2 linked regions of the Stegostoma tigrinum genome follow. The protein of the gene in region 1 interacts with the protein of each later gene in a pairwise test. Links are inferred from orthologs where the notes say so. Each region holds a gene or a part of one and is shown on either strand. Other genes may lie near its edges.

Region 1 (7,624 bases):
TGCTTTTTATGTTGTAAACAGAAGGGGAGTAAGAATGAAGGGAACAGGTGATGAGGATGCAAACCCAAAGGCAAAGGCCAAAGGAGCGATTGAAATGTCAAATGGGTGTTAATGAAGGCATGAAATGGAGAAAATGTCTGCATTGCTCTGAGCAAAGTCAACAAACACAGCCATATGGGCAAATTGAAGAGAACTGGAGAAAGCAAAACACGGCAGGATTTAGGTAGTTAATAGGGCCCTGGGGAATATTGTCAAAACAGAGGTTTAGGCACTCAGTTCCTTGAAAGTGGAGTTGCAGGTAGATGGGATAGTGAGGAAGACATTTGGCACACTTGCCTCCTGTGGTCAAAACATTCCCCGGGGTCCAATCATTAACATATATGTCTGCCCAGGTTTGCCTTACGAGCTTGTAGCAACTCATATTAGGAGAACTGTTATCATGGTATGCCACACTCATCCTAAGACCTGCTTATCCACATATAGACTAAAAAAGTCAGATGGGCAAAGGTAACTAAATAAAAATTTCAGAGAATGCTTTCAGGATAGTTTCTTAGAACAGCATATTCTGGAGCCAACTGGACAGCAGTCTGTGATTTGCAAATGTGCCCTCGCCATAAGTTACAGTGACTTCTGCAATTAAAAGGTATAAATATTAATTTTGCTATTAATTTGACAGCACAATTTGACCACTATCATCACGTGGACCTTAGATTCACAGAGAAAAGTGAAACTTCTATTGTTGTGCCCCAACATTGTCTTTATCCCTACAATACCAAAGTTGTACATCCATATTGATGTAAACTTTGGCTGTGCTGCAAAAAAATGGGGAGCATTTCCTGCACATATGCAGTTGCAGTCTCAGTTGTGTTGGAGGGGTAAAAGATGAAATATGAGAGAAGTTTTTTTTAAGATATCTATAAAGAAAGGGAGGCATGAGTGGACATTGAACCACTGGAAAATGAGGATTGAGAAGTTGTAAAGGGGAACAAAGAAGTGGTGGAGGACTTGAATAGGTACTTTGCATCAGTTTTCACAGAGGAAGACATCAACAACATACCAGAACTTCGACAGTTGGGAAGAGAGGTGACTGTAGTTCCCATCACTAGGGAGAAGGTACTTGGGAAGCTGAAAAGACTGAAGTTGGATAAATCACCCAGATCACATGAACTACATCTCAGGGTTCTGAAGGAGATTCTTTTGTTATGTGTTTTGAAAGAAATAAGTGAGGAGATTGTAGTGGCATTAGTGGTGATCTTTCAGGAATCGCTAGAGTTGGGAAGGGTTCCAGAACACTTTAATACAACACCTCTGTTTAAGAAGGGAGGAAAGCAGAATACAGGAAACTATGGGTCAGTTAACCAGATCTCGGTGATTGGTAAGATTTTACAATCCATCATTAAGGATGAGATTGCAGAGTACTTGGAAGTGTATGGTCAAATAGGGCAGAGTCAGCATGGCTTCATCAAGAGGAGGTCATGTCTAATAAATTTGTTAGAACTCTTGAGGCAGTAACATGCAAGTTAGGCAAAGGAGAGCCAGTAGACATGATCCAGTTGAATTTCCAGAAGGCCTAGGGCAAGGGACTGGCATGGATAGAGGACTGGCTGACTGGCAGAAGGCAGAGAGTAGAGATGAAGGGCTTTTTTCAGCATGGCAGCTGGTGACTAGTGAGGTTCTGCTGGTTCAGTATTGGGACCACAATTATTCACATTAAACATTCATGATCTAGACAAAGGAACCGAGGGTATCGTTGCTAAGTTTGCAGATGACACGAAGATAAGTGGAGGGACAAATAAGTGTTGAGGAAATGGAGTGGCCGCAGAAAGACTTAGACACGCTAGCCAAGTGGGAAAAGAACAATGTGGTAAAGTGTGAGGTTGTATATTTTCACAGGAAGAATAGAGGCGTAGACTATTTTCAAAGTGGGGAAAGGCTTTGGAAATGTAAAGCACAAAGGGACTTGGGAGTCCTCGTTCAGGATTCTCTTAAGGTTAACATGCAATTCATCTGGTTCACTAATGTCCTCTAGGGAAGGAAACTGCCATCCTTCCCTGGTCTGGCCTACATGTGACTCCAGACCCATAGCAGTGTGGTTAACTCTCAACTGCCCTCTGGGCGCTTAGGGATGGATGATAAATGCTGCCTAGTCAGCGACGCCCTCATCCCATTAATAAAACAAAGAAAATAAAAATCTGGTGGTTATGAAGGCAAATACGACATTGGCATTCATTTCAAGAGGACTAGAAAAGAAGAACACAGATGTACAGCTGAGGCTGTATCAGGTTCTGGTCAAATTGTATTTAGAATATTGAGAGTTTTGGGCCCCACATCTAAAGAAAGATGTGCTGGTATTGGAAGGAGTCTGAAGGAGGTTTACGAGAATGACTCTGGAGATAAACGGCTTATCATATGATACAAGGTAAAGGAATTGCAATGTGTACTCGATGGAGTTTAGATGGATGAGGGGAGAACCTGAGTAAATTTGGAGGAGTAGACCGGACATAGAGAAGACGTTCCATAAGCAGGGGAGACTATGACCCGAAAAGGTAGCCTCAGGGTGAAAGGACAGCCTTTTAGAACCAAGGTGAGTAGGAATTTCATCAGCCTGAAGGTGGCGACTCTGTGGAACACGTCGCCACAGTCAGCAGTGCAGGCCAAGTGACTGTGTGCCTTTAAGATATAGATAGTTTCTTGATTAGTAAGAGGATCAATTCAGGAGAAAGGGGTTGAGAAACAGATCAGCCATTATCAAATGGTAAAGCAGACTCAATGGGCTGAATAGCTGAGTTCTGCTCCAATATCTTATGGACAGAGTGTTGAATTAAATTGAATACTCTTTTTCAAGATGGTGGCAATAGCAGGAAGAGAAGTGTTTGGGCTCTGTGTCCATACACTCCCATTCCCATTCACCTGGCTGGCTGTATTCTTTTTTTGTTTCTTCATTTCTCTTTTTTTACTCAAAGTTCACTTGTTTACTGTGGATGTGGTGAAATACGGCGGTAGCAAGAGCCTGCTGCTGCAACTGCAGCATGGTGAATCCGGATGACCGTTCCTTGTGGCCATTGCTATATCAAAGGCATCATTGTTGATGGATCTGGTCCATTAATCCTGGTGGCAGTGGCTATCGTCGTGGTGGCATGGTGGTTCCAGTTAATTCCTCTTGATTATGGCGGCAATGTGGTCATTTTGGGTAATCACTGAAGTGGCGATGGCTTGAGCGACAGATCCAGTGTTGGCAACTTAGTGGGTCCAGTCTGTCCCTCCTTGCTATGGCAGTGATGCAGTGTCCTCAGTGCAGGGTTCGATAGTGGCAGCATGGGGGTCGGTCTGGAAATTCTTGTTTTGGCAACTTCAGAGGTGGCTTTGGCCATGGTGTCCTATTGCCACTTCAGAAACCCAGGAGCAAAAGATAAATTTTGTCTCAATTATTTATTTTTATAATTTTTGTGATTAAAATGGCACCAAATTGTGGTGACTAATAAACATCTCACTGTACTTGCACAATTGCAAGTGATGGTAAATTGTTCTTCTCTTCTATTAGCTTAACAGATTCACCATTCAAGTTCCCATTTCACGTCTGTTCAGCCCCTAACCAACAGCAAATTCTCATATCCAGTCTACCTCTTGTTTATCAACTCTTTCCTTAGGAAAAAACAGTGCTTCTGATGAATCAGTAGATGACATCTAATCAGGAAATTTCAACAAATGAAATTCCCAACAAACATTAATCTAAGAGATCAGATAGTAATATTTAAGGACATCTTTGTATGAATGTGATCAATTAAAGTGGGTGATCAGTAAAGAATGTAATTTTTAACTCAAACCTTTTAAAATTATTAAATTAAAATTTCTTAATAAAATGTCACATACCAGACTTGTTTGAATGTTTTATTAAATCAAGATTTCAGATCTGTAATGGTAAATTAAAATTTCTTCCTTTGTTCAATTTCGGCTCCATTTTCTTTCAACAGTGTCTGCAATGAAAATCTGTCAAATTTCTGATTTTAAAATACCGATTCATATTACAATACAGATAAGTCAAAATAATTAGGTTCAGATTTTTGCCTTAGCAGAGATCTGGTGAAAATAGCAGAACTGCTGGATGATCTCGAATTCTGTCCTAGTACAGGCTTCGTCGGAGGCTCACTGATGATGTTACCTAGAATGGTGACGAAACGTCTGAAAACGAACCTTCCAGCTCAGCGAGCAAACTCACATCCAGAACCTCAACCTGAGCTACAAATCTTCTCAAACTCGCTAGGGGTAAATTGGGTTAGTGGCCGTTTAAATCAGCAGTAACAGGTGGGATTTTCTGAAGAAGGCTCTAGGACCGAAACGTCAGCCTTTCCTGCTCCTCTGATGCTGCTTGGTTTGCTGTGTTCATCCAGCTGTACACGTTGTTATCTCGGATACAACACTGGCTGTTTCCAACAATGTTATGGAAGTGGAAATTACCTTGGCAGTGACGCAGATATCAGCTGCTTTCTAATTACAAATACACAACGGCGGTGTTGTTTTACCTTACAGGTCAAACTGCTTGAGGCGAGGTTAAGAAGGCAGGACCTTCTTGATAATCTCAGCCCATGGGGGGGATTGAACCACCCTGTTGGCGCCACCGTGCATTGCGCCGTCCAGCTAACTCAGCTGGTATCCGTGATACCAACATCCTAATTTCACTCCAAAGTCTGCTGTCATTTTTAAAAATATATCAATTAACACAAATATTGATAGGTTCGCCATCGTTACAATCAGTTTGTGCCTTTCTCGGTAGAGGAAGGTAAAAGAGAATTGGAATAATCGCGCTCCAAAAACGAACGATTTTGACCCTGCGGGCTCCCCGTAATGTTAATCCCCCTCCCGTGGATTGACCGTTGCTGTAAGGGTTGCGGCGAAGTCTCGACGAGATGCAGAATCCCCACCAGTTCTCGGTTCTCATTACCTCCTGCATCAAAACCCCCGTAAATCCGAAGACCAGGATACCCTCTACTCTGTACGAGAGAAGGAAAGCGCCGACTTTACGAAACAGCCAGAAACCATCTGTCGCCGAGGAGGTGAGGGCCTTGCGGTTGTTGTGTGTTTTGCGGGGGGAGGCGTTTACGTCACTGATTCATGGCGGCCACGTTGTCAATGGTAACGAGGTCGGCTGCTCGAGCTGAGCTTTGGGTCCAGGGTTTGCGGTAATGTTTTTCTGAAAAAAATACTCAAGAATGAACACTGTTCAAGTTAGTGTGAATATTCTAGCCGCTTGTGTCTTGGAGCAATTTTTTTTTCTTAATATTTGGATTGATTATGCCCCGGCAACAAAAGTATTCGCTTTCGTCCCCCTTTCTTTCAAAGGCAGCACTCATATTCTATCGCCGCAGTTTTATTTGTAGAATCTGGCAGTTGGTTTTTCTCCCACTAATTTTAGACGATCGGAATCAAGTGTAAACTATTCGAAATGGTCAGGGTTTGATCGAATATGTGATTAGGGATTTCCATGATGATTATTGTGTTTATTGAATATGGCATTTCTTGGTAATAAATATCGTGTATTTTATGTAATTTTGCTCAGTGGATCAGGAGCTGAAGTCATAGAGTTGTACAGCACGGAGACAGACCGTTCAGTCTAACTCGTCTATGCTGACCAGATATCCTAAATTTATCTACTCCCATTTGCCAGCATTGGGCCCATGCCTATCTAAACCCTTTCTATTCATGTACTCACCCAGATTCCTTTTAAATTTTGTAATTGTCATTACTGATGATATTGCACCATGTCAGAGAGGGTAAATTTACCAGGGTTTGGCTCCAGGAGTTGTCTCTCACTTATAGTTAGGTCGTTCAAATTTAGTCTGTGATCAGCAATACAAGAGTGTGATTTTAGGTGAGGCAGGTATGGGGAAACAAGAGATAATGGGAACTGCAGATGCTGGAGAATCCAAGATAACAAAGTGTGAAGCTAGATGAACACAGCAGACCAAGCCTTCATCAGAGGATCTAGGCCCGAAATGTCAGCTTTTGTGCTCCTGAGATGTTGCTTGGCCTGCTGTGTCCATCCAGCTTCACACTTTGTTATTATGGGGAAGCAAGATACAGCTTTTAAGGAGCTTCAGTTCATGCAATTCTCCAACAGTTATAAGGTCTTTGAAATCAGCTTGAACCAGAGTGGAAACTGCAGGAAGGATGAGCAAACTAATAACAACATTGTGGTGCAGGGAGCCATTAATGTGGGTGAAGGAAATTGAAATGGAAATACAGGAGCAGTGGGAAACAGTACAGTTATGGGATAGATGCTGTTCTTCTTAGCTTGAGTCCCAAAGGCTGTATTGCCTGCCTGGTGCCAGGGTTAAGGACTTCTTTAGGCTGGAGAGGAATTTGGAATGGGAGGGGAGGGATCCAGTTCTCACTGTGCAATGTTGGTAACAAAAATATTGAAAAAACTGGAAAGGAGTTCTGCTGAATTATCTTCTGATATTGAACAGTTAGGAGCTAAACTAGAAATAAGAAATTCAAGATTCTGAGCCATAGCAAACTGACATAGGGTTAATAAAGTCAGAGTTAAATGCATTTCTTAAAGATTGGTGTTGGAAGAGTGCGTTTCAGCTCATGGGGCACTAGCACCAGTTTTGGAACAGAAAGAAAACGCCTTGTTGGAGAAACGCAGCAGGTCCAGTACCATCGGTAGAAGGAGAAATAAAATTAATGTTTTAGGTGTGTTATTAATTTCTCCAGTATTGAAAGGAGCTAAGAATGTTTTTTTAATGCTGTGGACTGACAGGGAGGAGGAACAAGCAGAACAGATTGTGAAGGCACCCTGTGCAAAAGTTGAAGGCAGTGATAATGATAGTAAATGAATATAAGTAAGTAATATGGATTTAAATGACAGCTGGTACAGTGACAATACAGTATGGAGCTGGAGGAACCCAGCAAGCCAGGCAGAAGAGCAAGAAAGTTGACGTTTCGGGCCGGGAGCCGCCTTCAGAAATGGGGAGGGTGAAGGGAGCTCAGAAATAGAGAGAGGAGGTGTGGGGCTGGGGAAGATAGGTGGGATAGTGATAGGTGAGTGCAGGTAGGGGTAGTGGGGATTGGTCAGTGGGAGGGGAGGGGCAGATAGGTGGGAGAGAAGATGGGCAGGTTGTGTCAAGTCAAGGAGGCAGGGGAGGGTTGGACATGGGATGACGTTGGGGTGGGGAAATTTTAAAACTGGTGAATTCCATGTTTAGGCCTCCGGGCTGTAGGCTACCGAGGCAGAATATGAGGTGCTGCTCCTCCAGTTTGCGGGTGGTCTCATTGTGACGCTGCAGAAGGCCCAGGATGGACATGTCACCAAGGGAGTGGGAGGGGGAGTTAAAATTGTTGGCAGCCAGAAGGTTGTGTATAGAGCACAGATGCTGTACAAAATGGTCTCAGAGCTGACGCTTAGTCTCCCTGATGGGGAGCAGGCCACATCAGGAGCAGCAGCTGCAGCAGACCAAATTGACGGATGTGCAGGTGAACCCCTCTCTGATGTGGAAGGTTTGTTTTGTGCCTTGAATGGAGATGAGGGTGGAGGTGTAAGGGCAGGTGTAGCACTTCCTGTGGTTGCAGGGAAAGGTGCCAGGGGTGGGGCGGTTACTGGGGAGTGTGGAGCAGATGGGGGAGT
Region 2 (8,027 bases), on another chromosome or scaffold:
GGATGGGGTGAGGGAGGAGGTGTGGGGGCACTTCCTACAGTTGCAGGGAAAAGAGCTGGGTGTGGTGGGGCTGGAGGGGTGTGTGGAGCGGACAAGGGAGTCATGGAGAGAGTGGTCTCTTCGGAAAGTAGACAAGGGTGGGGAGGGAAAAATGTCTTTGGTGGTGGGGTCAGATTGCAGATGGTGGAAGTGTCGGAGGATGATGCATTGTATCCGGAGGTTGGTGGAGTGGTCCGTGAGGACGAGGGGGATTCTCTTTTGGTTGTTATTGCGGACAGGGGTTTGAGGGATGAGTTGCGGGAAATGCGGGAGACACAGTCGAGGGCATTCTCGACCACTGCCGGGGGGAATGTTGCAGTCCTTGAAAAACAAGGACATCTGAGATGTACGGGAGTGGAATGCCTCATCCTGGGAGCAGATGCGGCGGAGGCGGAGGAATTAGGAATAGGGGATGGCATTTTTGTAGGAAGGTGGGTGGGAGGAGGTGTATTCTGGGTAGCTGTGGGAGTTGATGGGCTTGAAATGGATATCGCTTTCTAGGTCGTTGCCAAAGATGGAGACAGAGAGGTCCAGGAAGGTGAGGGATGTGTTGGAGATGGTCCAGGTGAACTTAAGGTTGGGTGGAAGGTGTTGGTGAAGTGGATGAAATGTTCGAGCTCCTCATGGGAGCATGAGGCGGCGCCGAAACAGTCATCAATGTAATGGAGGAAGATGTGGGGTTTAGTGCCAGTGTAGGTACGGAAAAGGGATTGTTCCACGTAACCTACAAAAGACAGGCATAGCTTGGGCCCATGCGGGTACCCATGACCACCCACTTTGTCTGTAGGAAATGGGAGGAATCGAAAGAGAAGTTGTTGAGGGTGTTTCCTGTTGAGCTAAATGTCTTTGTTTTTAAAGTGACACTTCTCTTCGTTACTCAAAACTTTTCTGAAATTTCAATAGTCTGTCAGGATGTAGTCTCCATGATCCTCCTTTTAATTAAGGCTTTGAGTAGAACAGGATTAGGCCAGTAAATGGTTCAAGATAATAAAATGTGAGGCTGGATGAACATCTCAGGAGATGCTGCTTGGCCTGCTGTGTTCATCCAGCCTCACATTTTATTATCTTGGAATTCTCCAGCATCTGTAGTTCCCATTATCTCTCAGTAAATGGTTCAAGTTTGTTTCACTATTTAGTTTGATAGTGGCTAATCTGATTCCTCAACTCTATTTACCTGCCTTTGTTCTGTATTCCTTAATACCCTCACATTAGAAATGATCTTGGGAGTAAGCTATTTGGCCTCCATTACTTTCCTGCACCATGGACTGACTACGTCAAATGGTCATTTTCCTCATTGCGCAGCTGTTGATGACAACCTAGGTCTCTCCCACTACTGTCTCAGAAAGTGCAGCATTAACATTAATACTTGCATTCAGGCATGGACATTCTGGGGCATGTCTGAATGATTTGCTGTACGTTATTGATTGTTCTGTCCCTTTGCGAACTCATGTAGTACATCTCTGCACCTGTTCTTGAACCATTTCACTCGACTAAAATCTGCACTCAAGTTCACAGGTTTTGTGATTGTTATAACGTGTGTATTGGTGGCAGCAGTAATATTAGTCAGTGCAAAAATCCTAGCTGTTATAAAGGTAAGCAGCTGTCATTCTTTACTGAAATGCCAGTTAAAGAACAGCTGATGAACCCTGTTGAGAAACCTAATTTTTATCAGGATCTCCCACATAGATTCTCCACTAGGAAAAGAAAAGACTTGGATGCCCTCAGTAACAGCAACATTTCCATTTTTCCTGAGGGTTTCCTGTCCAACATTAATCACTTTTTATTTCAAGGTACATTAGAATATTGTGTACAGTTCTGTGTGCCACACTATTGGAAGGACGCAAATGCATTGAAGAGTGTGCAGAACAGATTTGCAAGATTGGTTCTAGGGATCAGATACTTCAGTTATGAGGAAAGTTTGGAGAATTTAGGACACTTTTCTTGGAGAGGAGAAGGCTAACAGGAGGTCTGAATGAACTTTTCAAAATCGTAGTGGGGGCGGTCTGATCAGACTGGATAGAGAGAAATTGTTCTCACTCGTAAATGGACTGAGAAATACTATTCTTCTGTGGTACCTCTGATTTCTAGAGAACTGCACTGATTATCTGGGAAAGTTTCCTCTACAATGGTAGGCACAAACTTGTTCGAATGTATTCCAGCCAGGTTTATTCCAGCAATAGAAAGTACGGTGATCCCATGATAGTTGGAGCATTCTGGCTTTCCTCCTTGTTTTTGTACAGTGTCATGACAGTCTTATGGAATCCTGCCCTGCTCCCAGTCAGCACTGAAAATCTCAAGGAGCTTAGTATCATGGGCAAGGCCAGCATGCCTCATGGCTTTGGGTGCAATTCCATCAACTTCAGCTGGTTCATGGAGGTCACAGTTTCATCCCGAGGTCAAAGGCCAGCAATCCAGACTGATCCTTGATAATGTGCTGTGTCTGGCCATCGGTGCTGCTCATGGGGGTTTGGCTTTGATATGCTGGTCCATTGATAGAATTTAGTGCTTCATAGAAGCATCTTATGTTGCCAGTATCAGTGTAAAATTTAGTATTTTTTTCTGCAAGTATGATTCACCAGTCATTTTGGATATTCCTCAGTTAACCTTGAAGGACACTGCACCTTTTGGCAGTCTAAGATAACAAAGTGTGGAGCTGGACGAACAAAGCAGGCCAAGCAGCATCTTAGGAGCACAAAAGCTGACGTTTCAGGCCTAGACCCTTCATCAGAAAAAGCTTTTGGCATTCTGCTTTTTTTTTTCTCTCCTGGCCAGTCTGGCTGAGCCAGATGAATATAATGATCTGACCCCTTTATTGCCAGCAGATTCTAGATTTCCCCACTATTTTCATCAAACTAGTCCCTATTCTTTTTTGTGTTGGATCTGATTACCTTGGAAACAGCCATTATTGCATCTTTGACTATTTCCAGAAGTCTTCTGGCGCGCAATGTGCCATAAGGTCGGGGTGTTCAGTTGGGTCTGTAAGTTTACTTGATACTTATCTCTACAATATGAGATTAGCAATTTCTTTGCTGACTTGTTTCTTGGTCTGAGATTCGAAATGGAGGTTCAGCTCTGAGTGAATAAGCTAGTGGTCAAAACTAGGTGGGGGGGGAACATTTTTAAGATGAGAGGAGAAAGATTTAAAAAGGACATGGGGCAACCTTTTTACACGGAGATTGATTAGTGTATGGAATGAACTGCCAGAGGAAGTGGGTGATGCAGTGACAGTTGCAATGTTTAAAATACATTTGGATAAGTACGTGAATAGGAAAGGTTTGGAGGGATACGAGCAAATACAGTTCTGATGAAGGGTCATGACCTTAAATGTCGACTTTTCTGCTCCTCCAATGCTGTCTGACTTGCTGTATTCCTCCAGCTCCACACTGTATGGATTCTGACTGCCAGCATCTGCAGTTCTTGCTACCTCCTACAGGCAGGTAGGGCTAATTAAGTTTGGGATTATGATCGGCATGGATTATTTGGACCGATGGATCTGCTTCCATGCTGCATGACTTGGTGACTCCCTGTTCTATATAACAATTAACACTGGTCATCCTGTTGAGCACTGAAATGTAGTCTATGGGCTGCCTGTGTTTCATGTGGTCTCGAAGTGATCTTTTTGCTGAAAGCTATTAGTTATGGACCCTTTCTTCCAGGTTTTCAACAGTGGATGTCTGTTTTTGTTGCAGTGTGTGGACAGCCTTCTTGGTGGTCATCACCTCACCTGAAGATCTGGCCCTTAAATTACTGCCCCATTTAAAGCCCGCTGAACATTTATGAGCCAGCGCCCTGATATGGAGCAATGGTGGAAAACTGGGTCAGAGCCATGTAACTGAGATAACAAAGTGTGGAGCTGGATGAACACAGCAGGCCAAGCAGCATCTCGGGAGCTTTTGTGCCCCTAAGATGCTGCTTGGCCTGCTGTGTTCATCCAGCTGCACATTTTGTTATCTTGGATTCTCCAGCATCGGCAGTTCCCATTATCTCAGAGCCATGTAACTCCTTGCTCCACTTACTCTCTCCTCCTGCCGGCCCGAAAATCATGCCAACAAGTCTAAAACATGCCAAACTTCGAGAACACGTTGCAACGCAAGTTATGACTGCTGCTTCATATCACAACGAGCTATGAAAACCGATTTTAATTTTATGAATGGGTACCTCAAATCCTTTACACTTCCTGTCTTATCATTAGTTTGCAGTAGGGGGCGCAGAGGGTCGAATTCTGCGAGAACAGCTTTTCGAGTGTGTCCACTCAAACGTTGGGCTTTTTTCCAAATGTAAAACCTTTTATCGGCTATGCCGCAAAGTCTGTGGTAACCTACGGAATTTAAATATCATGTTCAAGAAACAGGTGATGATTTGACATGAAGATTCCCGTGGAAAATTCGTCGTTGATGAGATGGATGACTTACAAAGCTAATATCTCAGGTGACATTCCAAGAAAAAAAATCTCCTGTCAGGTCTAACAAATGTTGTAGATTTTGGAGTCTTATGCCGAGCCTGAAACAACTTCATTTCCTTGGGCATTCTATTTTCAAGAATGACCGAATCCAGACAATCCAGTTTCACAATCTACTGCCAAAATTGTGGACTTTTTCTGAAAAGTAAATGAATATCATCTCAGGAACTAGGAAATTATTCTGAAGAAGGGTCCAGACCCCAAACATCAGCTTTCCTGCTCCTCTGATGCTGCTTGGCCTGCTGTGTTCGTCCAGCTCTACACCTTGTTATCTTAGATTCTCCAGCATCGGCAGTTCCTACAATCTCTGAATTATTTTGCCTTTATGTTTTTGTTTCCTTTTGAACCTTATCATGTTTATAAATGTGATTTAAATAAAAGGGGATGCAACTTCCATAATATCAATACATCTTTTGTTTTCTCTTGTGAAACAAGATTTTACCGTTTCAGTTCAACACTTTGAATCCAGTGTTAATGAAAGGCTGGGAATGTGGTCACTCTGCCCCTCCCTCCCGGTACAGTGCGAGTACAAAGCTGTCACAATATTGGGAGTCAAATCAGAACCTCCAGCGATTAATCTTTGCAGATTACAGAGGTCCCCACCGCGGCCGCATATATAAATGTATGTGCCTCTATCTGTGTTGCAGACCTGTAGTAGAAAGCGGTGGTCATCCATCACATTGTACTGACGGAATTGGGCAGGCAGAGAGAGACACGATGCAGCCTCGATCCCAGACCTGTGCACGTCCCTAATACCTTGTGTCGGTGAGAGCAGGGTTAAATCACAAGAACGTAAGCACTCGGCTTCCTGTCTGCTGACAATCCGTGCAAAGCACAGGGCAGCTCGCTTCCTCTCTGCTTCTATTTACTCGCACGGTGCCTGCAGTTTGCAATTTCTCTTGGTTTATTCAGTGCAGGAGAGTGGGAGCGAGCGAGCAGGTGAGGTGCCACAATGTTGGACCCGTCGTCTAGTGAGGAGGAATCGGAGGAGATAGTTGAGGAGGAGAGCAAGGAGGTGCAGGCTCCGGCGCCGGGCAGTCGGTTGTCCCCGAGCAGGACCAGCGAGAGCAGCGGAGGTTTACAACCGAGCAGCCGGAGCAGCAGCATCCGGCCGTCCAGCCCCAGCCCTTCGGTGGTGAGCGAGAAGGAGAAAGAGGAGCTCGAGAGGCTGCAGAAAGAGGAGGAAGAGAGAAAGAGAAAGCTTCAGTTGTATGTCTTTGTGATGAGATGCATCGCCTACCCATTCAATGCCAAGCAGCCTACAGACATGGCGAGGAGGCAGCAAAAGGTAAGCCAGCCAACAAGGACAAAAAAAAAATCCTGCCTAAACACGTTAGCAAGCTTTCTGGTTACAAGGGGGCTCAGTGCATCCTCTGCAACAGCTTTAACCTCGTGTTAATCAGCTGATGGCAAAAAAATTGCAAGCAGTTTTTGACGTTGCTGATGTCTTCGCTCTGCCGAAGGAGGTGCTGGAAATTGGATCGATCTGGGTGCTTTATTTCGCTTCTCACTGCGGTAGCTGTTTTCGTCCAGTTACAGGGCGCCCAGAGGACCCAGTCTGCAGACAGACACTTTGTTGCACTCGCGCCCTTTAAATAGAGCCAATAATTAGCAGTCCAAGGTGACTTGTTAATCATGGCGGGGAAGCTAAAGACAACTTTGCGGTGGCTTTTCTATTTGAGGCTCCCCTTTCGAAATTGCAAACAGGTCAAACTCTGCCCAGCTAATACAAAAAAGAACTTAATTCCAAACGTACCTCTATGAAAACGGTCTGAGAATTGTCCTTTGTTCTCAGATGTGGCTATTTTATCATTGTCCAGCAGCACAGACTAGGGTGTCGAGTAAAACCCTGCCATAAACACACCCAAGATCGATTTGCGATGTGTTTTATTATGCTATTGTGTAGAAACACTATCCTGTTATACAAATAATCCTACAGTACCTGCGCCCCGATTAGAACATGGGGCGTTATCGTTCCCCAATATTGATTGCTGTCACCGCCAAGTGGCGCTGACAAAGACTATCACTCCCACTGTCAGTGGTAATACATTTCAAAATCAGCACTCGTAATAGCTTGTGTTGAGCTCAGAAATATTACTTCGGGCTGCTACACTATCAACTGAAGAACGTCAAGTACTGATAAGAGCACTCCTTAGTTTATGGACTAGCACTAGCCTGTCCCTGCTTGCGCCGTACTAATATAGATCATTTTTACTATGCTGAGGAATGACTACCCTTCTGTATTGGCTGTCCCTCCTGGCACAGTTGTCATCTGGAACCCTTCAATTTGCTTTAGATTTTGTTTTCGCAATTTAGTTTAGACCCTTAACTCTGAAAGTGGAAAAACTGAAAAGGCTGTTCTCTTGGAGGAATCCTCCTGTTCGACACTTCCTTTCAGTCCAAGCATTAACTGTAAGCAGTTATATTAATTGCTGCTTGGGTATGCCACGTTTCGTAGTATATGATTAATTATTATATGACAAAGTATGTTTAAATGTAAAAGTACACAAATGTGAAAGACTTGAGCAATAAATGTGATTTTGAAGGCTGTAAGTTTCAAGTTCTCAAGATGTAATTTACTACTTTTTTGGTCAAGAAGTAACATTGCATGCAATATTTGCATATATCTCTCTAAATATATTTATGGATCTGAGTAACAAGATAATTCAAGACATTGTTATTGCCAATTGTCATGCAGAAAGCGAGAAAATGAATCGTTTATGTTTACTAAAGGTAAAGTCGTCATAGTCCTAATCTTGTCAGATCATAAAGCTGCTGTCTTGTTCGAGAAAGACAGCTGATGGTGGCTGAATGCCTCAGGTGAGGGGAGAGATTGAGACAAAGGGACCTTTGTGTCTCCTCAGGTATGGGAATTGACCCCATGCTGTTGCTGTCGCTCTGCTCTGTAAACCAGCCATTCAGACAACGGAGCTAACCAAAAGGCTACAGAATTTCTCTAATTAAATGATCAGAAACATTTAATTGCTGCAGTTATACATGTTACAATATTTTATCGAAAATTGAAAGACTTGTTGAGGTAATCTATAAATGTAAGGACAGGTGAGCAAAATATTTCATTGCTAAATCATTGTTTCTTTTTCATCTAATTAATTTATGTATTCAGAATTTTAGCTCAGTCTACAGTGGAAACCCTGGTGTTTATGGAATACCTTCAGTACAGAGAAAAAAAATCTCCCAAAGTGGGTAGAAAACAGAGTGCCATCCCATTTGAGGAGATGGTGGGCGAGATGATACAAAGTGTGGTTAAGGAAGTGGTTTTCAAGGGGATTTTTATAAAATAAATTGAGACAATGGTAAGATTTTAGGGCAAAGATTCTGGTGTGGGACCCCAGACTGTAAAGACATGGGCATCACTTACAAAAACACAGTTTTGGTAGGTACAAGAAAGCGCAGACTCGTCAGCGATTTGGAGCAGTTTACAGAAGTAGGGATGGAAAAAGTCATGAAGAACTTCAAGTTCTACAATCAGAATGTTAAACTTGAGCTGTTAGTGGATTGAGAACCTTTG

The links.
Region 2: the proteins of fam161a (region 1) and cadpsa interact in a two-hybrid assay, tested with the Homo sapiens proteins (2 studies listed by BioGRID). The two-hybrid records come from large-scale screens. The link is inferred for Stegostoma tigrinum from reciprocal best matches to the Homo sapiens genes FAM161A and CADPS.

What each region holds. Positions count from the first base shown.
Region 1 is NC_081362.1:40,580,985-40,588,608, forward strand, and holds the start of fam161a (protein FAM161A), read left to right. Parts: upstream 1-4,394; 5' UTR 4,395-4,904; coding exon 4,905-5,051; intron 5,052-5,099; exon of another isoform or gene 5,100-5,207; coding exon of another isoform or gene 5,208-5,222; intron 5,223-7,624. UniProt on the Homo sapiens protein: Involved in ciliogenesis.
Region 2 is NC_081364.1:48,963,379-48,971,405, forward strand, and holds the start of cadpsa (calcium-dependent secretion activator 1), read left to right. Parts: upstream 1-4,980; 5' UTR 4,981-5,450; coding exon 5,451-5,786; intron 5,787-8,027.